Linked DNA regions of Tamandua tetradactyla. The protein of the gene in region 1 interacts with the protein of each later gene in a pairwise test. Links are inferred from orthologs where the notes say so. Each region holds a gene or a part of one and is shown on either strand. Other genes may lie near its edges. The genes, in order: DCTN2, GADD45A and CCDC172.

Region 1 (7,486 bases):
AGCTGGTTATACTGGTTGTCTCCAGGGAAGGGAACTGAAAGGTGGCCGGCAGGGATGAGAAACAGATTTTTCACTCTATAGTCCTGAGTCTTTTGTTCTATGTGTAGGTATTATCTGCTTTTTTAAAATTAAAGTTGAAGATAATCTGGAGACTAAGGCAGAAAAATCTGTTGCCAGGGGTTAGGAGATGACTCAAAACCTTATGGTTCAGCCACAACAGTGGTGATATGTAACTGTCACTTCTGCAAGGTTTGGGGAGTAGATGTGAGGGACAGACTGCTACTGAGAATCCAAGCCTCACAGACAGAAGATTCCTGGACTATCAAAGCACAACCCACTGCTCCTCAAGTTGCACATTTACATTAGTATTAAGAGCAGCAGAAAGGCCATTACTCAGCTGACTTCTGGAAAGCTGCCCTCCTAAGGCCCACAGGGACATGCAAGGGCCAAATATTAGCTGACATCAGGAAACATCTCAGCCACACAGGCTCCTGAGGCAGTGGAAGGTCTCCCCACCCTATTCACTCCTCCCTAGTGATGGAGAGCCACTTAACTGAGCCTTAGGTGGTGGAGGCAACTTGGCTATTCACCATTAAGCTCCTAAACGCTGTTAAATGGCATCCTGGGCAATGTGCCTCAGGAAATGAACACTCATGGTATCCTTCCCCATCAACCCCCACCCCCACCCTGCCACCCCTCCTCCAGATGCTACTAAAATGGGCTGCTCAGGCTCAGCGGGGTGAAACAGCCAATCAGAGCTGCATTTTCAGCTTCTTCCATGCCTGAAATGGATGTCCTCGTCTTCTTATTATCTCCCAGTTCCTTCAAAAGGAAAATGACAAGGTATTTTTTCTGTTTGGAAAAGGGACAGCTATGATACTACTCATTTGTATCAGTTAGTGATAAAGTTCCATTTATTATCTCACCATAAAAGCTTGATATCTTTTTGGCAGAGCTGAACAGTCTCTACACTGTGGCAGTACAGTGAAGCCCTCAGCATCCACATCCCTACTCTGTGAGGCCAGAGGCTGCTGCCTACTAAGACACCTCTTGGAGTCACAGGTGAACACTCAGGTCCTTACACAATTCTGCACTGATCTCCAGATACTCAAGCTTGGGTGACATACTAACATGACAGCAGGTACAGAAGCCACAAGGAACACACCACTGAGGGGACAGTGAAGGTGTTCCCTAAAAGGAAGGAAGGCAGAAGCTATTTCCACATGGAGGAATCAAATAAGGAATAAGTGAGTATGCCAAGCCATACGTAAGCCAGCGGTCAGCATTTCCCTAAACAAACCAGCCCCACAGACAGAGCCACAGCACTCACAGTCAGATACGATGAGCCCGATCCTGCTGACTAGTAGTCACACCTTCACTCTGATACCACCAATGCAACCCCAGCCCAGCTCGCTTTAGAAATAACAGAGCCTAAAACACATCCTATAAGATGTGCTAACCTATCTCTGCTCCCCTGGGCACTTCATACAGAACTTCTCCTATGTTGATTTTTATTCACTCAATTTTATTTTCTCACGTTTCCTGCATATATCCTAACTCCTGCGTTAGTCTGGCGCTCCCTAAGGTCAGGGACATTTCTTCCTTTCTCCGCATTGCACAAAAATCAACACAGAATGAACACATTAAATAAACAATGCTAAGTCGTTGCCCTCCTGATTAAAGTATGTCTATAGCTAATTCCTTCCTCCTCAATCTAGATTTCTTCTTAGACCTGAAAGTGATACCACGGTCTCTCCTCTGCTGATATGAAAAGTTTATATTTGCCCTCAAATTTACTTTGCTCTGACCAGGTTCCTTACCTTTTAAATTTTCCACATCTTTTTCTTCCTCCTTGTCCACTGGATAGTGTATATTCATATAAAAAAGCTTTCATTTATACTTCAAAGCCTAGCTCTCAGTATGATATTAATGAACATGTATTGAGTGAAATATTTTATGAAAGGGAAGGCCTTGTCCCTTATCAGGCAGTTTACAAGTGCTCAGGCTTCGCGATTCATTACCACGGACTAGAACCCAGGGGCCTAATTAAGTCTTTAGCCCCAAACCTAACTGATTTGAGATACTCCAATTTTATTAAAAAGGCGTAAGGATAAGGGCTTTCCCAGCAAGTCTTCCTGGTTGTAATTCCTCAGATGTAACTCTCCTTCATGGCACTGCTCTTTGTTGGCTGAGAGGCCTCTGCAAGCCCTGCAACCTACATAACAGCTAGGCTGGGGTTGGCATACCCGCTTACTGCTGGCCAGAGAAAGGAGAAAGCCTGCCTGGGGAAGATAGGTCAGAGCCCAGAGGGGTCCTGAGGCAGCACACAGTCTTACCGCATCAAACTCTGCTTGATCATCCTCAGGTAGGTCGCTGGTTTCATAAACATCTGGCTCGTTCCTGGCCTGCAGGTAGAAGCAGTGATCACCCAACCACACTACCCAGCATCCAAACTAACAAAGAAAGCATAGTGTGATGCTGAGATTCTGTCCTTTCACCTCTGCCTGCCCAGAACAAGTCAGTTCCCCATGTTTTAGAGGAGTGGGGATGACAGTAAAGATATCTGGGCCTGACAGTAAATGGTGAGCGTTAGTGATGAGAAAAATACTATCCAGAATTTGGAGGGGGGCAAATCTTTGCACTCATTATGTCAGAAGAAGGTGAGGGCTATTCTCAAATTAGGCCCTGTACACCACTACCGTAGCACAACTCCCATCCCGAGGATACAGGGAGGGCAACAACACAAGCAGAGTGGTACATGCCGGCATGTGCATCGGGGGACAAGTTCCCGTAGTGCAGAGTTCCACATCTGGCACAAGAATGGTTCTATCACCCTACCCTTTTCCTTGGTCGGGTAAGGCCATTATCAAGTGACCTGTGCGTCTGGGGTTCTGGGAGGAGAGCTTATGGAGGGATCTGGGACAGCACGGGCGGTGTTAACACGGCTGATGGAAACACTAGGTAGGGCACAAGTGGAAAACACCCGGTGCATTCCGGGGCCGGGTAACCGGCAACTGCCGGAAAGTGGGCCTGCTGCGCCGGCCGACAGCCTGGCCCAGTCGGGTCGGAGTCGTTGGGAAGGTGCTGTGGCCCGTCGGGAAGGGAGCAGCAAGCGCCCTTGGAGCGGAGGAGGGGCTGCAGGGGGGAGGGGTCGCGGGTTGGTATCTGTTGGGGATCCTTGGTAAGTCGCGGGCGCGTTGGTGGGGAGCCGGGGCCGGCCCCTGTACTCACAATGCCGGGAAGGTCGGCGTATTTAGGGTCCGCCATGGAGGCGGCGAGGCGGGGTTGGGGGACCGGGGCCTCGGAGGAGCCGGGGCTGACGTTCGGGTAGGGAAGAGGTTGAGGCCGGTCCCAGGCTAAAGCGGAAGCAAAGGGAGCGGCGGAGCAGTCGGAAGTCTCGCGACAGTAGCAACACAGGGAGAAGGGTAAAGCAACAGTCGCGAGAACAGCCCACTACCACACCCCTGACGGGGCGGTGATTGGCGAGGACAAGACCAGAGAATGAGGTAATGGCGGGGGTGGGGGTGGGGTCGCCGCCTAGGATTGTGGGTTTTGTAGTCTCGGTAGGCCGGGGCTCGGGCAGGGTACGACAGTAATGCACCTTAGGGAATTATTTCACAGAACTTATTTCCTTTCATGTTTACATCAAGTCTGTGAAAGTTATCCGTTGTATATATTGGAACTCACAGAAAATAAGTGACTAGATAAAATCACACAGCAAGTCCTGCTGCAGTACGGCCAAAGATTTCAGAAACAACAATAAAAAGTAAAATTTTGAAAACGCTTAGGGTCTATTAGGAATGGAAAAGTTACATACTCTTCTCAAGTTAGAGCTGTCGGATAAAGTACAGGGAACTTAGTTAAATGTGAATTCCATATAAACAATTTTTTTAGTGTATGTCCCATGCCATATTTGAAACATACACAATTATTCTTTATATGAAATTTAAATTTAACTGGGCGTCCTCTCTTTTTTTCTTCCTAATCTGGCAATGTGCTATCTCAAATTCACACAATAGGTAAGTGGTAGCTCAATGGTTGGCAGACCAGTCAGTCTCTGTTCTTCTAACCACTTGGCTAATAGTTCCCAGACTTTGGGATTTCATGGCTTAATGAAACTAAAACAACAACAATACCAAGATAGAAATATCTTGTGAAGATAGAAATAACATAGCTACATTTTTATTTTGCCAAGTAAGTACAACGAAAATGAAAACCTATGTATTATCACTGTCATTAATTAGTAGAAAAGTAGGAAGGACAGACTTTCAGAATAAAGGACAATCTTTTAAACTTAATAAATCCAACTTTATGAAAAATACACCCGTTGGCTTTTTTTTGGAGAGAGGGGGTATACCCAGTGGGTTTTTGTCTCTACCCAGTGACTTTCCATGTTCTGGCATTTTGCAACTACTTAACTAAGGATGCCACCCTGGAGCCCATGGGAGCCTAAGGTTAGGATGTTTCCTGAGTTTGCAGGATGCTGCAACACTTAGAAATAGTGCCAGACCAAGTGACTGGAGAGAAGTCTATTTTCCTGAGTTGGAACTCATTGTCATTCTAGCCATACTCTCCTGGCTTCTCCCCAAACTTCTGTCTCTCTTTCTCCATAGAGACTGCCTTCTCATCCAGTTCCTTATGCTGGATCCTTTTCATTCAGTTCCTTTAAGATGCACGTTGGGATCAAGGTGTAGGCCCAATGTGTAGGGCCCCTTCCCCCAGATGAGTGGTTGTGTCTTGTCTGGTCAGGCCAACAGCCACTAACCCTTGCCCCATAGTGTCTAAATGACGTCAGACATTTTCCAGACAGCTGTTGGGCAGAATTTCCATCCCTTCCTCCCTTCTCTCATCATTCTGCCCTTCCTCCCCTTGACCTAGAGCCTCAACCTGCAGTCCAACTCCCTGTTGGTCAGCAGAGGCCTATGACGGGAAGAAAATCAATTTGGCCAGCTTCTGAATGTTTCTGTCCAGGGGCTGCAGCCCCTGCATGAAGGAAGGACAAGCAATCTCTGGGTTTGGCTTTTGCTAGGGAAGGGGAAGAACCAGAGAAGAAAGACCTGAGAAGGGAACTGCTGTGTATAGATTCTGTCCAATTGTATCTGAGACAGGAAACATACTCAGGTAGGGTGCTAAACCTGCTTGAAACTGGAATGCAGAAATCCCTCCTAGAAAACCTCTTCCAAGCCCCTCTGGTCTCACCTAGCCCATCACCACTTCTCCTTCAGCACTTTCTGACTCTTAAAAAAGTTACTCCTACCCACTTCCATGCCAACCTGAACCTAGGAAGCAGAAATGAGGATTTCACTGGCTTTTAGATTCTGAAAGCCTAGAATGGGAGTTTGTTGCCCCTCAAACTGGTATATAGGTTGGGGGGAGAATAGAGTACAGCCCTTGGTGTAGAAGGGGAGAGAAGTAGCCAGACCCTTCTCTCACTCCTCTCCCCCAAGAAGGGGACCTGGAGTCCCACCCTCCCTCCCGGTAAAGCAGCTGCCCTTGGAGGTGAGTGGATAAGGAGTCCGGCGCCTGTGCTTGGTGGGGGTGATAGAGGAATAAGAAATGTGCTCCCAATTAGGACAGAAGATTGTGAAGGAGGTGGGGGATGCCCCGGGAAAAAAGGGGGACGGAAACCTTGTTGACACTATTCCCTAGAATAGGCCCACCTCCGATTTCTTATTCCCTTCCAGGGGGCGGAGTCCTACAGAGGGACAAACTGGTCGAGGGAGTGGGATGCAGGGAGTGAATTGGTTGGGGAGGGGGTGAGGGCAAGGTTCTCTCCGAGCGTCCGGCGGTGGGGGTGGCCGGGAGGAAGCGAGAAGACCGGAAGGATCACACCGCTCGGGGGTCGGCGTCCCGCGGCTCGCCCCCCCGCGGAGGAAGCCCCGCCCCCGCGCCTCCGTCGCGGCCCCGCCCAGGCCCGCAGCGAGGCGCTGCAGCGCGAGGGGCGGAGAGGCAGAGCGCCGGGAGAGGACCAGACGCGCAGATCTCCCGCATCCCAGTGCCGCAGCAGAGAGGAAGCGCGCCCCATCCTGCTCCCTAGCCTTTGCCCCTGCGACCCCACATCCTTCTCGGCCCCAGAGACCGAGCATCTGTCCTCCGCCTCGGCCTCAGCTGGGCGTCTCCCTCCTTCAGAGCACTTACCACCCCTGCAGCCCAAGAAGTGCCCCAGCCCCACGCCGGGGACCACTATGGCGGAGACAAACAACGAGTGTAGCATCAAGGTGCTCTGCCGATTTCGGCCCCTAAACCAAGCCGAGGTTCTGCGGGGGGACAAGTTCATCCCTATTTTTCAAGGGGACGACAGCGTCGTTATTGGGGTGAGTGCCGCCCCCAGAAGGGATTTCGGGGAGGGGGCGAGAAGCTGAATCTTCCCACTGCGGAGCCTTGCTCCCTACCTGTCTCTCTGCGCCCCCTCCCCACCGCTCATCTTCCACCCTCCATCCTCCTCGCCGCAGTCCCTCCTCTCCCCTGCATCTGGATGGCTGGGTGTGGCCTGCCCAGGCCGGTGGCCAAGTCTCCGCAGAGTGGGAGGGGGCTACTTCCCAGAGATCTGGGGACTCCACTCCTCTTTGCTGAGTCCGCATCCCTGAAAGGTAGTCCGGTGTTTTTCTGATGTTTTCCATTTCCCCTAGAGAAGGCCTGTCTTCCCTTTGTTATTGGTTCCGATCTCTACCCCAGCCTCCCAGGAAAGGAGGGGGAAGGCTAGTGGATGGGCTAGAAGCGAAGTGGGCAGCCCAGGGTCTGTGCAGAGGTATGAATGGGAGTGGGCTCCAGAATCAAGCCCTCCATCATCCCCCAAACTAATTAGCCTGGACTTGGGAGCGGGGGAGGGTTCAGGTCTAGTGAAGGGTTTTCTGGGAAAGGAATACTTTAATGCCACACCCGATTTGGGGGGAACCCCTGGGGTCCTAAGGAAATGTCTATCTATCCGTCCCAGGTACAGTGGTAAGTGGATTTCAAACCCCTCCTATCCTACCCCTCCAAAAAGTAAAAATGCCAGAACGCTGAAATCCTAATAAATACTTGCTTATTCACCCTTTCTGTTGATGCTCCAGTAAGAAGTAGCAAGCCATTGTTACCTCATTGTGACAGCCCCTTCCCATGCAGGAGATCTTATTAAGAGAACTAATATTTATTGTGTGTTTGTTGTTCTACATATTAAATCCTCAAAACATCGCTCTGAAGTAAGTATTGAGATTTCCATTTTATAGATGAGGAAATTGAGACCCAAAGAAGTTTAATGACTTTCTCAAGGTCACACAGTTATGGATCTGAATCCAAATCTGTAACTCAAAAACTCATGTTTTTTTTTCTCGACATCACACTGTCTCCCCAGATTTCTGTTCGGGACCTTTATCTGCTATGGCCCATAGGGAATTCCTAGGCCTCACTCATTCCACCTTTCCTAGATTAGTAGGCACCATCAGGCTGTCGGGTGAAAGGACCTGGGGGTTGAGTCCTATGGTCTTGAAGAGTGCTAGGCCAGGAA
Region 2 (7,965 bases), on another chromosome or scaffold:
AAGATATGATGCAATTATTCCATACCAGTTTATTGTAGGCATCGTGTTTCAAAAAATTTATAGCATAAATAACCTTTCCTGTCATAAAATAACTTAGTACAATTTATAATAAAACTTTGAGAATTTAACATCTCATCAAAATACAATAAAATATGGTTTTAAAATATGATGAACCCTTTCTGCTTCTCTTTCATTTTAGGGCATAGAAACCAAAAAATATTCAAACTACTTCTGCACATTTAAACTTTAACAAAGCATACTTGGTTTATTTTAATGTAACTCGACCATCCAAATTAATACATAGTTTGTGTTCCTTCCTGCAGGGTTCTTTGTAATTTTTGTTCCTTTTGACTTGGATTTCTGTTTCAACACAGCTTCCTTCTTCATTTTCACCTCTTTCCATCTGCAAAGTCATCTATCTCCGGTCCCCTAGAACATGTAGTTAAACTCACTCAGCCCCTTGACATCAGTTTCTGTAATCCTTGCATCAGTGTAAGGAGTAACTGCTTGAGTAACTACAAAGGTATTTCAAAACTTCAGTGCAATTTGGTTCAGTTATTTTCATTCAGATGCCATCACCGCTCAGGGAGGTTAATCACTGGAACCCACTGATCCATGTAGCGACTTTCCCGGCAAAAACAAATAAGCTGACTTAAGGCAGGATCCTTCCATTGTGATGAATGTGGATTCTGGGAACAAATTTAGAAACATAAATTTACTATTAAAAAAATCTGCATTTGCTAATAATTTAACTACTTTCAAGGGGAAGATGCTTAAACCTTCTCTATCTTGGCTGAGTAAAACAGAGACAAGTTAGATGGGCAAAAACTGAAATTTCTTCAGGTTTCCTGCAAAATTATACAGGGTAATTCTCTATTAAACTACATCTGCAAAGCCCGCACACATGCAATCCATATGCCACATGCATATGCTTACATAAAACCATTCAGTCAATTTTGCAAGAGAACTATCATTCACAGGTTTGCCCTGCAAACTGTACCCTGGCAGAGACCTGAATTAAATAACTTCGAGAAATACTTCCCCACCAATTAATAGAATTGCCACCTGTTATCCTCCAAAAAAGTGTTCTTTAGGAGTAGCAAAACAGTGTGCCACTCAACTAGATCAGTCAGAAAATAGCAAAATTTAAAAGATAATTATTATCATATTTACCTCTAAAAACTTAAGTTCCAACCTAAACCTACTGAAGATTTTTTAAAATCAGAACTAAAAGACCCTTAAAAATGCAAAATTGCAAAGAAAAAAATTTCCACTCACTCCTTTTCATGTATTTCTAGGGAATTACTAAGATCTGTCTCCTACACCATCTCTATTTTTAGCTTTGACTGGCAGAGAATGAAGCTGACTCCTTAATGAGGGTGAGCCAGGAATTTATTTGGCTTTATCTAATCTGCCCTGTTAAAGGAATTAGTCACGGGAGGTAGTGCAGCTGTAGGTAGGGAGTAGCTGAGCCGACAGTGCTGACTCACAGGGACCTCTTCCGCTGCTGGCAGCTTCCAGCGTGCTTAGACATGTTCTGTCCCAGGGAAAATCCTGATGATGAAACTAGCACATCTAGGCCGAAAGTCCGATCACGCTCTTTGAGCGGTGGCCAAGACAGCCCCCCCCCCCCCCCATTCCAGATCTGCAGTCAGGCGACTCCCTGCCCTTCTAGGATCCTAACCCAGGTCGGCTGGAAGTGCCCCTCCTCTCCCTCACCGTCACGAGCACGCAGTGCAGGTCGGGGGGCTGCTCGGCGCCCCCGCTGGCCGTCGGGCCGGTCCCGGTCTCCAGCAGCAGGAGCTCGGCCAGCCGGCCCGGGTTGCTGACGCGCAGGATGTTGATGTCGTTCTCACAGCAGAACGCCTGGATCAGGGTGAAGTGGATCTGCAGGGCCACGTCCCTGTCGTCGTCCTCGTCCGCCGCCAGCAGGCACAGCACCACGTTATCCGGGTCGCTGCGGGCAGCGGGCGGGGCCGTGAGCACCCAGGCAGCACCCGCCCGGCCGTGCCCGGGTCCCCTGGGGTCGTGCCCGGGTTCCCAAGGGTCGCACCCCGGGGCGTTCGCTCCCCTCGGGGCAGGCCGCGGCGGGTGCAGAGAGCGGCAGCGGGCAGCGCCCCGTGAGCGCGCCCTCCCCGGGCCGCGGCGGGTAGGGCCACCACGAGGGACCGCGCCGAGGCCCACTTACACGTTGAGCAGCTTGGCCGCCTCGTACACCCCGACGGTGATGGTGCGCTGACTCAGGGCTTTGCTGAGCACTTCCTCGAGGGCATCCCCCACCTTATCCATCCTGAGCGCAAGCAAGGTCCAAAGGAGGCTGTCAGCCCAAGTCCCTCGGGGGCCGTCGCCGCCCCTCACCCTGCACCACGAGGCCCCCTCCCAAATGCTCTCTGCACCCCAGGTGTCCATCCCACACCGCCACCAGCCCGGTCCCGCCAGCTCCCACGTCCGCTGGAAGACCCTGAGGGTGTCACCGCCACCCTCCCCAGAGGAAGCTGTCAGTCCCCGGTGCAGGACGCAGCCACAGGAACCGCAGGGCAGGGGCAGGAGCTTCTGCCCTTTGCAAAGGCGCCAGGAAGGGCTTGGCCGGGTAGTGGGAAGGGGCTCGCTCTTAACGCCCGCGGGGCTCGGGGAGGGGGGGGTTCTCCTGAGGAGAAAAGGCGGGAGCTGCCGTCTGCAAACTTTTCCGCTCGCTCCCCCGCAAACCTTTCACAGCCTTCCTGCACTGGGGCGCGCGGGGTGGGCAAGACCGGTCAGGAAGAAGCTCTGTCTATCCCCGCCAGCCGGAAAAGCCCGCAGGCTTATTCACCTTTCGATCTTCTGCTCTCCAGCCGAGAATTCCTCCAAAGTCATATTGCAACTGCAGGGCCCCCCAGAGAGCGGCGTGCGGGCTGCTCCTGCCACCGCAGGCGCGCAGGCTGCTGCTCTCTCTGCACTCCCCTCACAGGCTGCCCAGCAGCGGGCTCGGGTCCCACACGCGCACCGACCGCCGGGACTCAGCCAGGCCGGCCTCCGCCAGCCCGGGCTCCTCCTCCAGCGCCCGCCGCCGCCGCCGCGCCGCCCTCCCCTCCCGCCGGGCTCGCTCGGTGCCGGTAGCCAAGCTCCGTAACACAACTACGGCAGCTGCCCCACAGCCACTGAAGGACAAAGGGTCCAGCTCACCGGAGTTATCCTGCCAAGCCCCAGCCAACCATCTCCGGCGTCATTTGCATACAGCGTAGCCATTGGACTATGCAAATCAGCCTGCTCTGGCAATTTGACCTCAGCTCCGGGAACCAGGCTGGGAGAAGTGAAAAGAGGAGGAGCCCTGCGGGAGGCGGGCCCGGGGCGGGGGCGGGGCCTTGGGCTTGCTCCCCTATCCCGTGGGCGGGGTCGATCTGGAGAGGAGGGCGGAGTCTTCACCTTGGGCTGGAGAAGAGTGCCAAGTGTTTTTCTAGTTGGTGCACTTTTTTAAAATTCTCGTTTCATGTCTTTTGTTTTTAGGGGTTGCTATTAAAATCTATTTTCAGAGTTCATGCGCCTGAATCTAGTAATTATTAGTAAGCAGGTTACATAAAAAAAGTGTGTCCAGACCTCTGGGGCAAAGTTTACCTCAGAAGTGTTGTCTGGGCAAAGCTGCTTATTAGTAGTAGTATTATTTCGGTGCCCTGATGGCTGGTTTGATTTATTTTTGGAAGGTTGCAAGGCTTGGAAGCTCAAAAAAGAAAAATCAACACATTCTGTTTGGTGGTGGCAGGGAACCAAGTTGGAATCTTTTCCATAGAAAACAGTCTTCCCACCTGCCCAGGGTAGCTCTGGAAAACCATGAACTGGTGCACGTGGGGAGCTGATGACCATATGTGTAAACCCCAGTCAGATAACCCAAATTCACCTTTCCCGGAGAGCTTTTCCCAAAGGAGGGTCCACCTGATCCACAGGAGCTAGGAGACAAATGTCTGCCACCCACACAAAGCACAAGTCTAAACTCCAAATGCTCTCCATATGCCTGTTTCCTTTCATAAGGCAAGTAAATATGTCACTGCCTTCCACAGAGAGCCTATGTTCTCATTGTGAATTATTGACATTAGATGCTGAAACACGAAGCTATAGGATGTTCTAATCAGATGTTAAAAATTCCACCTTTAAGAGAATGGCAACCTGTGGGTGGAAAGCAAACATGCATAACTGCAAGCAGTAGGTACACATTTTGAAAACTGAACTTTAATGTATAGACTTTCACTGAACAGGTAAAAAATCTGATCCTTTGTTTTATGGCTTTATGCAGTAAATGCAAAAACATTTCTTAAACGTACCTACGTCAACCAAAGTGGTGAAAATGCCTCCTACGTGCTTGCATTCAAAACAGTGCTTGCATTATTAAGGTCACTTATATATGACAGCCAAAGGTCACAGAAAAGTTTTGCAAAGGTACACGGGAGATTTTGCGCCCTTATGTTTGTATCATTCTTGGCAAAATATGATTGATCTTAATTGAAGATCAATGGCTCTCTTGATCTTAATTTAATGGAAAAGAAAAGTGATGGATTGAGGTTCTGGTTCGTTTATTTGAAATGCAATTTTGCAATCAATCTGTAACCACGTCGTCGACAAGGGACAATGTTCAAGTAAAAGGAATGTGGTGGTCAATGTTTAATTCTCCCAGAGTGCTTATGTATCTCATATCTATACCTTATCCTAATGTGGTATATTTGTTAAAGAATTCCTCAAGATTGAAACTTAGGTAGATGTTGAGGCACTTTCAGTTTTGCAAACAAAATCTGAATTACAGTCTGGCCTCAGTCACCATTTGGAGATTGTGGAAAGGTGCTCTGTGGAATTCCAAGATGCTATCTACCAGGTATTCCATAGAGTTTCTTTGGAAGGAAATGTCGTCACAGCAAACTGAGAAAGAATGTGGGAATCGTAAATTTCTTGACAGCAGGGACAGTGACTTCACTGACTTAGTGTCCCCATCATGCAGCACATTACCTTGCATTTAGTAGATGCAGTCAGTGTTTAATGAGTTGAATGGCATCCGAGAGTTGAACAAGATCTCAGGATTCTTCTGGAATTGTGCATTGCATGTGCTCTTTCTAAAATATTCCACATTTGACTTTAGCTCCAAAAAACTTTGTGGATCTACTATTATACATCAAGAACTGTACTAATCCTGGTCCTTTGCCATTAAAGAGCTTATGATCTAATGGGTATGTGCAAGCTCAAACTGAATTTTAGGATGAAATAATATGCACTGTCATCAGCTAACTATGCTGAAAGTCCCATGACTTTAGTCATCTGAATGGAAGCTGTAGGACAGTAGAGCCCATGTGTTGTTTACACCAGTTTGAATGCCCTACCAGCCGTAATAATGCCCCATCCAGACTATATACAGAAAACCAAAGTCACATAAAATGGTCAAGTTTTAATATAGGGTAAGTTCCTCACTCGAAAACTATACTTTGTGCTATATTTGGTCTCATGGGAAAGTTATTTGTTCAAGTGGGGTTTTTCTCTGTGAGATAAGCCCAGACTTCCAGTATTCAAAATATTCATTTGTCATGCTTTCTGACTCAGATATGTTACATCATTGTGCCTCATTACTGAGTCTACCTAGAGTGTTTCACCAGTGACTCTCTTCAAAGTTGGTCCACGTGGCTGGAAGAAGAAACTGCATTTAGCTACACAGAGTGCAGTTATACAGTAGAATGATCATAGGTGACATTTCATAAATGCTGTTTAGTCCTCAAGGGAGTTGGTATCCAAGGGCAAATGAAGAGGAATTATCTAGATCATATAGAACCTGAACATATTTTTATTATCAGTGTAATAACTCCAATATGTGAAGTCATTTGGAAAAAATACTACAGGCAATCCTGAATATTTCAATTGTACAGAACTAGAATGACCTTGTAGTAATTTTTGTAAGGTTGCCAAATGGTTAGAGTTAGAAATCAGATGGAAATAAATATTCAAGAATTGTTATATTATTTTATCACTACTACCTGCTTTGCATATTAAAGGTCTTTTTCTTTTCTTCACTTTTGTCACACATACATTCCTACTACTCATTATACAGACAGAATTATAACTTTTTTCTCTTTCAAAAAAGTCTTTTAATATCTGAAAAACATATGATGCTTGTTATTTCTTTATTAGACAGATCTTCATTCAAATTAAAGGAAAAGACCAGTTAGACTATGACAGATGAATCTACCAGCTACTGAGAACTGTATTATATTGTGTTTTATTGTTAAAACTCATAAGGTTCCTGGCATTATTATTACTATTGTTTTGCATAAGTCTGGTGAAGCTAGCTTCTCAAGACAGGTCCATGAATTTCCCTCATTTTTTTTCCTCAGGAGAAGATCATTCAGACCATATTTACTGTCACTTAAGAGGTATCTTGTCTTAGGATCAATACTTTCTTTTGAATTTCATATAATATTTTAGTTTCTTGGCTCATCACCATGGTAACCTCCATGATCTCTGCCCTCTGGTGTTACACTCTATATAATCTCCTCCCCGTGAATATGGGTAGGGCCTGTGACTTTCTTTGACCCAACAGAATATGGCAATGATGATGGGCCACCACTCCCATGATTATATTACATTCTCTGGCAAAGGTGAAAGGATTTTGCAGATGCAATTAAGTCCCCTAACAAATTGACTTTCAGTCCATCAAAAGGGAGATTATCCAGGGTGAGCCTGACCTATTCAGATTAGCTGTTTAAAAGAGAATCTAGGTCTTCCCTAAAGAGAGATTGCAAGCGTCAGAGACTCTCTTCACTGCTGGCTTTGAAGAAGCAAAATGCTATGAATTCTACTGCTGCAAGGAAATGAATGTTGCCAACAACCTGAGGGAGTGTGGAAGGAAATCTTTCCCAAGTCGATCCTCCAGATGAGAATGCAGCCAGGACAACACCGATTTCAGCTCTGTGAGACCCTGAGGTGAGAATCCAAGTAAGCTATGCCCAGACTTCTGACCTGCAGAAAATCTGAGTTAACAAAGGGGTGTTGTTTTAAGCTATTATACTTGTGGTGATTTGTTAGGCAGCATCAAAACCTAATACAGGGTGGGCCACGGTGACTCAGCAAGCAGAGGTCTCACCTGCCATGCCGGAGACCAGGGTTCATTTCCAGGTGCCTGCCCATGCAAAAAAAAATAAAAAAATAAAAAAAAATAATAATAAAAAAACCAAAAACAAAACTAATACAATCACTTTAATGCCTTCTTATTGTGTGTTTAATAAATCTTTACCCTAGGGAAATTCTCTTCATGCATTAAGAAATTCTTCTCAGGTATTAGAATCAGTGGAGTCACGGTGTGGCTTTGAGCTTTTTGCTAACCATTTTGTGTTGCTAACATCTGCTCAAATTTCACCAACCAAACAGAGACTGGCCACTAGAGATGTCAGATGAAGTGACTCGTGATGACATTTTTCTAGAGCTCTTCCTCCACCCCATTTCCCCATCTCCCTGCTGAGTGAAGTTTGTGCCAGTAGCCTTCTGTCATATTAAGACTCTACTGAGAGTCTCTGTGCCCAGTGGGCTAATCATAGGTGAGGAAGGTAGGTCGTCTGAGTTGGTAATTGGCTATTGGTAGTTCATTCTGGTAACTTGAACAGATTTCTGAGCTCTGTGTTTCTGAAATAGAAGAGATCATTCTTTTCACCCATCTAGTTTCTCACAAAGTTTTCTACTTAACCTCTTATGTTGGAATACCCCAGGGCTCAGTCCTTGGACCGCTTCTTTCTACATTCACTCTCTTGGTGACCTCATCCATCTCATGGCCTTAAATATTTATATGCTGATGACTCAAATATATTTCCAAACTGACCAGTCATCTCTTCTGGACTTCAAAGCTAGCTCATCATCTCTGCCTCAATATACTATAAACATCTCAAACTTAACATGATAAAGGTTGATCTCCTCATTGTCCTCCTATATCTCTTCCTCCTAGGGGTCAATGACAACTCCATTCTTGCA
Region 3 (8,185 bases), on another chromosome or scaffold:
TAAATGCCAAGTCAAATATTCAAGTAAATACATTTTCACTGATATTGGCAGACATATAATGAACTCTTATGATAAAAGAAATAAGAAATCAATATATGATTACTTCTTTAGTTCTTCCTATTAGTCATTTACATTATAATTGTGGTGACACCTTTAAAATCTTTAAACACACACAGATATACAAACAATTTTGACTATAATAAATCAAATATCTCAATTACGAATTAGAATTGTATGAAATGTGGACCTCATGTATTAATTTTATTAGTAAGATACAATTGTATTATTACCCACATACATAAGCTGATTAAAAAGCAGCGCATTTATGAGCCTATATTAATTAGCAATTTTATGTTTCTAAACAGCATAGGGATTTGCTTTCTCATCTCTCTAGCACAAATGTCTGAATTGACATTTTTATGTATATGTATATATCAACTAATTACATTTCCATTTTCAGGCAAATAGGCTCCTACAAAGAAAATAAAATGGAGTAAACCTTTTTTTTCATTATTTGTAATCTGTCAGGTCAATATCTTCATCAATCAGAGAAAAATCCATTTTGTAGAGAAACTTATATAGGTGACCTTTTAAAAATATTGCCCTAGACTAGATTCTAAAGCTTCAGATACATTATTATATGTGAATATCATGAAGAATAAACTTTAAGATGAGCTCAAGAAATTTGTTTTACTAAAATATCCGTCACTGTTCAATTGTTACTTACTTTAGGATAATTTCATTGTTTTCAAATTATATCTCATGGGCAAGCCATTGAAATTCTGTTTCTCAGTTCTCTCACCAATAAAGTAGGGTTAATGACATACCTCATCACAGGATTACTGTCAGAATTAAAGGAGCTAATGCAGGTGGAGCTTTTAGGGGAGTGCCCAGCACACAAGTGCTCAATAAATGTTAGCTATGCATTACCTAATTCTAATCGTATATGTGTCACCTACTACTTCTATTACGTTCTAGTTATCAAACCTGAAAGCAACTTAATTCTTCTCAAAGAAAAAGACATCTATATCATGGCATTCTTTAATACTTTGCCCAGCCCACCAGCTTTTAGCATTGTTGGTAGTAGCTAGTTTATTTGCTATTCAAAATAAAACGGGAGAATGATCTCACTGAATAGTGCCAAATTCTATTTTAAAAAACAGTATTATCCCTATTATCACAAATATTGGTGATAAATTTATTCACTCAAAACATTAATGCACACTACATGCTAGGCTTCGGATACAGGTAAGTGAGAGCAAAAAAAGATGAGTAAGAAAAATAATTCCCGATGTTACAAAATAGCAAGGGATATGACACAAACATAAGTATGTATTGTTGTTTAATTGCAAGGTAATGTACAGACTGCTATATTAAAAACATTTTTCCAACATGTCTATGGGAGAACTCCACAGGTGACATTTAAGAAAGATTTGAAGAGCAGAAATTTACTAGTTGGTAGAAGGGTTATATGATTATTTTATTCACACAGAAAAATGGAAATTCCTCACAGAGGTAGACATTTCTATTTAAAGCAAATAAACTTCCTCAAATAGACTCCCCCGCTGCACGCTGAATAAATATTTTTGTATGGCAGTCTGTTCCACCCACAGCCAGGCCCTCATTGTGAAATACTTAAACGAAAGCCTTAGCTTCCTAACTAAATGTCCTGCTTCTATCCTCCAGATCAGAGTTCAGAGTGACCTCCCTAAAACTGCTTTTATCACCCGGATCAAAAAACAAATATCTTAATTATTGCCCTATTCAGATTAATTTCACGTCTCTCCTTATGCTGTCTCCACTTGATAAACTGGTCAATAAAATGCAAAGTCAAATGCCTACTCCGAGATATCAACCCTCTGCTTTCAACCTCTGCCACCAGGTTCTCCTGCCTCGATTTCAAATAAGACAATTTTACAAAGGGAAAAATGCTAGTCAAAAAGTTATACTTTTGGGTGAAAAGACATGTCCAAAAGTGGTCGAGAATTAAAAAACAAAAGACATACACTCATTTGAAAGTTACATTTAATACTTACATCAAAATAGCACACTTTATTATTCAAAATGTATATACTGCATCATCTACTTATTCAACAATTAATTTCCAGTGACACTGTACACTTTTAAGATGTTAACCATTCCCCCAAATGGAAATGAGTTCTTCATTAACTGAACTGGTTTCTTTAGGACAAGCTCATATTAGAACTAACTACTTCACTGGAATCAGAACTTTAAATATCACCAGGCAACATGATAGAAGAGCGTGCTTCCTATTTGAAGGAAAACTAGTTCATCAGGGAAATACCCTCAAAAAGTCAAGTTGCACCAGGCTTTTTTCAAATGCTGATTATCATGCTCTACACAGCAATACCTTAGATTCCAACTTGATTTTCTCTTCATTCAGCTGCTCTGTTGCTTCCTTAATTTTTTCACGACATCTGTTTATTTCCGACCTCACTGTAATACAAATTAAATCCTTACAAACATACATATTTCTCAGATTCCCATTTCTGTAGCATTTGGAAAGACACCTTTCAGCTTTCTCTCCCTCAACGTGGAAAGCAAACTCCCCTAACTGCTCTGCTGACCAGCGCTTTCGGGAATTCTTTCTTCTCCAAGCACCCAACTCGGGAAGACAAACGGTCCCCCGCAAAACGCCAGAAAAGCCCGACCTTCTCGCATCAAGCGGCGACTCTCCTCAGCCTGGTGCTCCGTGAAGAGGATGTGCTGAAACAACGTCTCTAAACTCATCTCCGGCCCAGGCTCCTGAGGAGCCCCTTCTCGACGTTAAATATTTGATAACCAAGTCTGAGGACCCTGGAAAGCAGCACGTTAAAGGAGATCGGCCTCCAACTCACCCCTCCCGACACCCAGCCCGGAGCCCCGAGGGTCAAGGCCGCGAGGGGTCACTGGGGACGCCGGCGGGGCCGCGGGGACGCGCAGGGGCAGTCCCGTGGGGAGGCGCCGACCACGCGCCGCCCACCCGCCGTCCCTTCCCGCGCGACGTCCGGGCCTGGTCTGCGCCACCCGCTCGGAGCGCCTCACAGCCCGCTCCCTCTGCCTCTGTTTCACATATTACAATTCACTGATCCGGCTTTTTCTCTCCTGCGCCTTTCAAACCCTGCCATCGTCCTAGGCGGACGGCAGCTCCCCTCGGGCGAGGCCTGGTCCCCTCAGTCTAGGTTTTGCTTTTGTCACAGAGGCAAATAAAAATGGAGACCTGGGCCTTGGCTTCCCAGTCTGGGCAGCAACCCTTTTTAGGGTCAGGCTTTCCTCTCAGCTTTCTCTTTCAGCAAAACGTGTTATCGTCCACCAGCACAGGCTGGCGGAAACCTTCGCCTCAGGCTTCATTTAGTGCCTCAGGTCGGGCCTTGCCCGGTGAGAACTTCGACTACGGCGGCCAGTTGGGCCCATTCTGCAGTCGTGCGGTTTGCTGTGGGTCATGCGGTCTCCAAGGGTCTTAGGCCTGATTTTGAGTTCAGGGGATCTGTTTGCATGGCACAAACACCCAATATTATAAAGTGCACAGTACTGGTGATTCTAAATATAGACTTTTGCAAAGTCTTATCCATTATATGGCTAAGACTGCTATAAATGTGCTGTGTCTGACGTTCCGCCTTAATCATTCCTTTGTAATCAGGGCATATCTTTTTTGTCTGCTTTACAAGTAATCATTGCCTTTTGTAATCAAGCTGCAGTAATATTAACACTTCAATATCTGCGCAATATGTGTCAGAGACCAAAGTGGTTGCTAATTAAAGCTTACACATGAAAGGCACCTTTGGGATTTTTGCATGGGATTTTTAAAATAAAAAAATTAAGTATTTTTAGTTTTAGTAGGTCAAAATATTGAGATTATAGTAAACATTTTACTTCGTTTCTGAGTGTTAGATTGAAATTGGTTAAACTTTACAAAGTATTTTCGAGTTAGAATGTATTTGGAATTAAGTAAAGTATGGTAAATGTGAATTCGATCACACCAGCTATACAGTAGGGTTAATTGACATTTAATTAAAGCTATAATATAATTGATTATAAATTTTAACCTATTCCAAGTTTCCACTTTTATTCCCATCAAGCCATGCGTGCATAAAATTTTTAACTTTATTGTAAAAGGAGACATACCGAAGAGTGTAATGAAGCAGAAAAAGAGTTGCCCATAAACTCACCATTCAGAAGCAAATATTAATGATATTTTGTCTCTTGGCTTCCAGGTGACCTGCATTTTTCCTTATACGAACTTGCAGTTACTGTGAATATATAATAATGGCGATGTTAAACCAATAATTAATATGTATGATTTGCCAGGCACTATTATGAACACTTTACATCCTTTTGAGATGGATTTTATTATTAGCTTAGTAGCACAGTTGAAAGAACTGACGTACAGAACAGTTAAGTATCTTGTTCAAGGTTGCATACCTAAAATACAGCAGTGTGAGATCTGAACCCTAGAAATCTGAGATCAGAGGCTATGAATTTCATTTTGGCTTCTGCTCCGTTTTCCCCTCATTACACTACAAGTCTTTTACCATTTCACTGAAAACTTATCATAAATACATTTAAATAACCTCATAATTCTTCCTCATATACTTACATGTGTAAAATTTAGATATACAGAAATAAATGTGACTCTTTCATCTGCTTAAGGGTGGAAACAAAGCTGAAATTGTGGTTCGAACCATTTTCTTTGAACACTCATTTGGAGGCTTATGAACTGTACCGCAGCTGCCATCAAAGGAAATGACTTCCCAGAAGATAAATTATATTACTAATTAATATCACTCCCTTCAGAATTATTTCCTGTGGACCAGCACAGGGAGCATCCTCACAAGGAGGCTGGTTTCAAAAGCATACTGCTATTTAACATTCCAGTTTTATTAGTTACACTCAAACTCACATTTATTATTTAACGTGCTCTTTCTGTATTGAAACTTGGCAGAATGAAATTTGGGCAGCCTTTAAGGAGCCTGGTTGCCTGACTCACACAAGAGTGTGGAAGAGATAGCTGCTGGTAATTCAGGAAAAGATATATGGGGGGAAATGCCTTCTTCATCTTCTGTAATCTTCTTCGCATCCCAGAGTATTTTGGTGCTTTTTTCCTAAGTTAGAGTATTCTTAGAGGTACCACAATTATGGACATTCAGCAGGGTTTTAAATTTAATTTTGTTTTGCTGAAGCAGAAATGAAAATTCAAGCCCACAATTCAAATTTTAAGCATTTCATAATAAAAAATAAAAGTAACATAAGATACTAAAATGTTACTATCCCATGTTTAGCTTTATTCATACATTTTCTATAGTGTTGATTTTTTTCGTGTAGATATACATGCTGATTACATTCTATAATGGACAAAGCAGGATTATAGCATTACTTAAATGTATGCCAAATAAAAATAGTACATGATGGGGTAAAATTTGGGCATACTATTTTCTGAAAAGGTATCGCTCTTATAAGCCTTAAAAAAAAAAAGAAAATGATTCATTCAATAACTGTTTAATGAGTTTCTGCTATTCATTCAACATTTGCTTAACAAATATTAGTGAGCGTCTCCTATTGCTTAACAAATATTAGTGAGCGTCTCCTATGTGCCATATTAGAGAAACAATATCAAGATTTAATAAAAACACAACTACATAAAATGTATTTTTCTTCCCTAGGATATTTCTAACCTCATTGGAGAGTTATTATATATTTCAGCATTTTAGCGACAGTATAAACAACTGCTTTCAGATGTTTCAACAGATGTTCTTTAGAAAGAAAGCCAATTATTTGCATTATGATTCCTACATATGATTCTCAGATATAAATTTTCCATCTGTACATGTTTCATTGATTGCATACCAATAGAATATAAAAGTTAAGATCACTCATTATCTTTAAACCTCAGACATTTGTTCATAATAACACCAGCACCTGGGTTTTTGAGCAATCAATAATTGTTTGGCTAGAAGGCCTTATGTAAGGCTATATTGCTTTTGTGATTTAAGATGCGTTTCCTCCCCTTTCTTAGATTGATAACTTCCCTAAGTTCTAAACCAGGCTTTGCAAAATTCCTATATTGCAATGGGAAGAAGAAAAATAATTCATTCATTTTATGTTTCTCTTAGGGCATCTGCCAAAAAAAGAAAAGAATAATGCGTGGATTCAGCAAGTTTAACGACTATTTATTGAGTATCTACTAAGTGTAAAAATCTCAAATACTATGGGTGATGTGACATCAGTAAAGATACAGGTAGCTTTCTGGAGGTCACAGTCTATAAAACCAAACGTTGCATACACCAGTAACTCCCAGGTAGCTGTGTATAATAGAGCCTTACTCTTGGGCTATAGAAATATGGCAGAGGAGAGAGTAAGCCTGGCAAGGGTGATCTGGGAAGATTTATCATTAGGAAAAAAAAAAATATATCAGCTGGATTTTTAAGGAGGGTGGGTGTTCAATAAATGGAGATTAGAAAGTTAGGTAGGGTAGTATTTGGAGGCTGTTGATTTTTTCATGATGGAGGACCAGGTTATGTTTTCAAGCAGTGTTGCTTTCAGTGTTGCTTTCTGCAGTCGATTCTTAGCAGTTAGTTAGAAACACAGTGAGTTAGGAAGAGCCTAACAGCTAACAGCTAACATGTATTGAGTAGCTTACTATGTGCCAATCACAGTCTGAGAATTTGACATGCATTAATTCATTTAGTTTGCACAGCAACCCTGTGAGATAGATGCTTTTATTATTTCCACTTTACAGGCTGGGGCAGAGTCAGGGAGAGCTAAGTAACTGGCCTAAGGTCAGATGCTGTAACTAGGAAGTAGAAGAATCAGGATTTGAACCCTAATAGTCTCATTCCAGAAGGCACAACCTTAGCTATGTCTCCTTACTGCCTCTAACATCCAAAGCCTAGAAAAAAATGAGACTATTTTGTCAACTGTATTTCTTAAGGAAGATATATTTCCTAAAAAATGCTTCTCACCAACAAATTAATATAATTTCTGAAGACATTTTCAAACTAATAGACTTTGGATTATCAATGCACTGCATCTGCTAAAAAATTTTAACTCAAATGTGATCTAAAGAAAAATAATTGCAAATAGGTCCTACCTTATTATAAATGCTTGCTTACCTAGTCACATATCTAATATGTGAAACTAAAAGTGAAATTTGTGTAAAAAGATCCTAAACCTTAAGTTGTAAAAATAAGTTATGATTTAAAAAAATTTTAAATCACTTTGATTTATTATCTATTATAATAAAATTCTTTAATGATTTAAGGGATTTTATACAACTTTATAGATGTTAACATTGAGGCCAGGCAGGCTGATGGAATTCCCTAGAACAGTTAATATCACAGCTGGGTCTAGCACCCCCTCCTAATTCCTTCCTGTTCCAATAAAGATCTTTTTGTTCACCAGTGGCTTTCAAACACTAAAACTAAAGCAACTCATCTTTTATTTGTTTCTAATATTGAACTTTCTAGAAGAATTTAAAAAAAGGGACAGGGCTATCCTGGAGCAATTCATCTACTGTAGGGAACTTACCCAATTAAGGAGAGATATATTAGAAAGAGATTGGTAGATAGATAGAGTATAGGTAGATAATAGATAGACACACATACATACTTACAATACCTATGTATGTACACACGTGTACATACATATATGCCTACATATTCATACACATATCAATATATGTATACATGATAAAATCATTTATGAAAAAATAAGTGCTTAAAGGTATCAATTTTATTTTCCAACAGACTTACACTTCCATAATAAAAATAAAGATAAACTAAAAATATATATAAAAATAAATAAAGGTAAACTGCCAATTCTTAATTACTAATTGAGAAAAGCAGCCTTTCTTCATGAAATATATTGGATGAAGAAATTTCATTAACATACTAGGAGTCAATAAATATTAAAACATTTTGTAGAGAAAAGCGACAGTGCAGCACGTGACTGGGATGTTCACATTTTCAGAGTTCAGAGCCCAAGCTGAAGGTCCAGGAAGGTGCCTCTGGTGCCCTATCCAAGAGGTTAGCCTATCAGGCCCAGAAAACTTAAACGAAACAAAATGTGGAAACCACTGTTCTCCACCATGTATAAGTCATTTGCTTATTCAATAAATATTTATTAAGTATACACTATCTGTAATGCAAGTACATTGAGTTGTGTTCGGGTTACAAAGACTAATAAGACA

What was found.
Region 2: the proteins of DCTN2 (region 1) and GADD45A interact in binary tests that used the Homo sapiens proteins (3 or more experiments, as listed by UniProt). The link is inferred for Tamandua tetradactyla from reciprocal best matches to the Homo sapiens genes DCTN2 and GADD45A.
Region 3: the proteins of DCTN2 (region 1) and CCDC172 interact in binary tests that used the Homo sapiens proteins (3 or more experiments, as listed by UniProt). The two-hybrid records come from large-scale screens. The link is inferred for Tamandua tetradactyla from reciprocal best matches to the Homo sapiens genes DCTN2 and CCDC172.

Annotation. Positions count from the first base shown.
Region 1 is NC_135333.1:124,838,101-124,845,586, forward strand, and holds the start of DCTN2 (dynactin subunit 2), read right to left. Parts: upstream 3,410-7,486; 5' UTR 3,268-3,409; coding exon 3,232-3,267; intron 2,406-3,231; coding exon 2,337-2,405; intron 823-2,336; coding exon of another isoform or gene 783-822; intron 1-782. Other genes in the region: KIF5A (kinesin heavy chain), read left to right, coding at 6,186-6,314. UniProt on the Homo sapiens protein: Part of the dynactin complex that activates the molecular motor dynein for ultra-processive transport along microtubules. In the dynactin soulder domain, binds the ACTR1A filament and acts as a molecular ruler to determine the length.
Region 2 is NC_135337.1:58,292,500-58,300,464, forward strand, and holds the start of GADD45A (growth arrest and DNA damage-inducible protein GADD45 alpha), read right to left. Parts: upstream 3,068-7,965; 5' UTR 2,854-3,067; coding exon 2,810-2,853; intron 2,291-2,809; coding exon 2,189-2,290; intron 1,958-2,188; coding exon 1,720-1,957; intron 690-1,719; coding exon 576-689; 3' UTR 1-575. UniProt on the Homo sapiens protein: In T-cells, functions as a regulator of p38 MAPKs by inhibiting p88 phosphorylation and activity.
Region 3 is NC_135339.1:78,370,082-78,378,266, reverse strand, and holds the start of CCDC172 (coiled-coil domain-containing protein 172), read right to left. Parts: upstream 3,387-8,185; 5' UTR 3,221-3,386; intron 2,818-3,220; 5' UTR 2,752-2,817; coding exon 2,673-2,751; intron 2,458-2,672; coding exon 2,372-2,457; intron 1-2,371.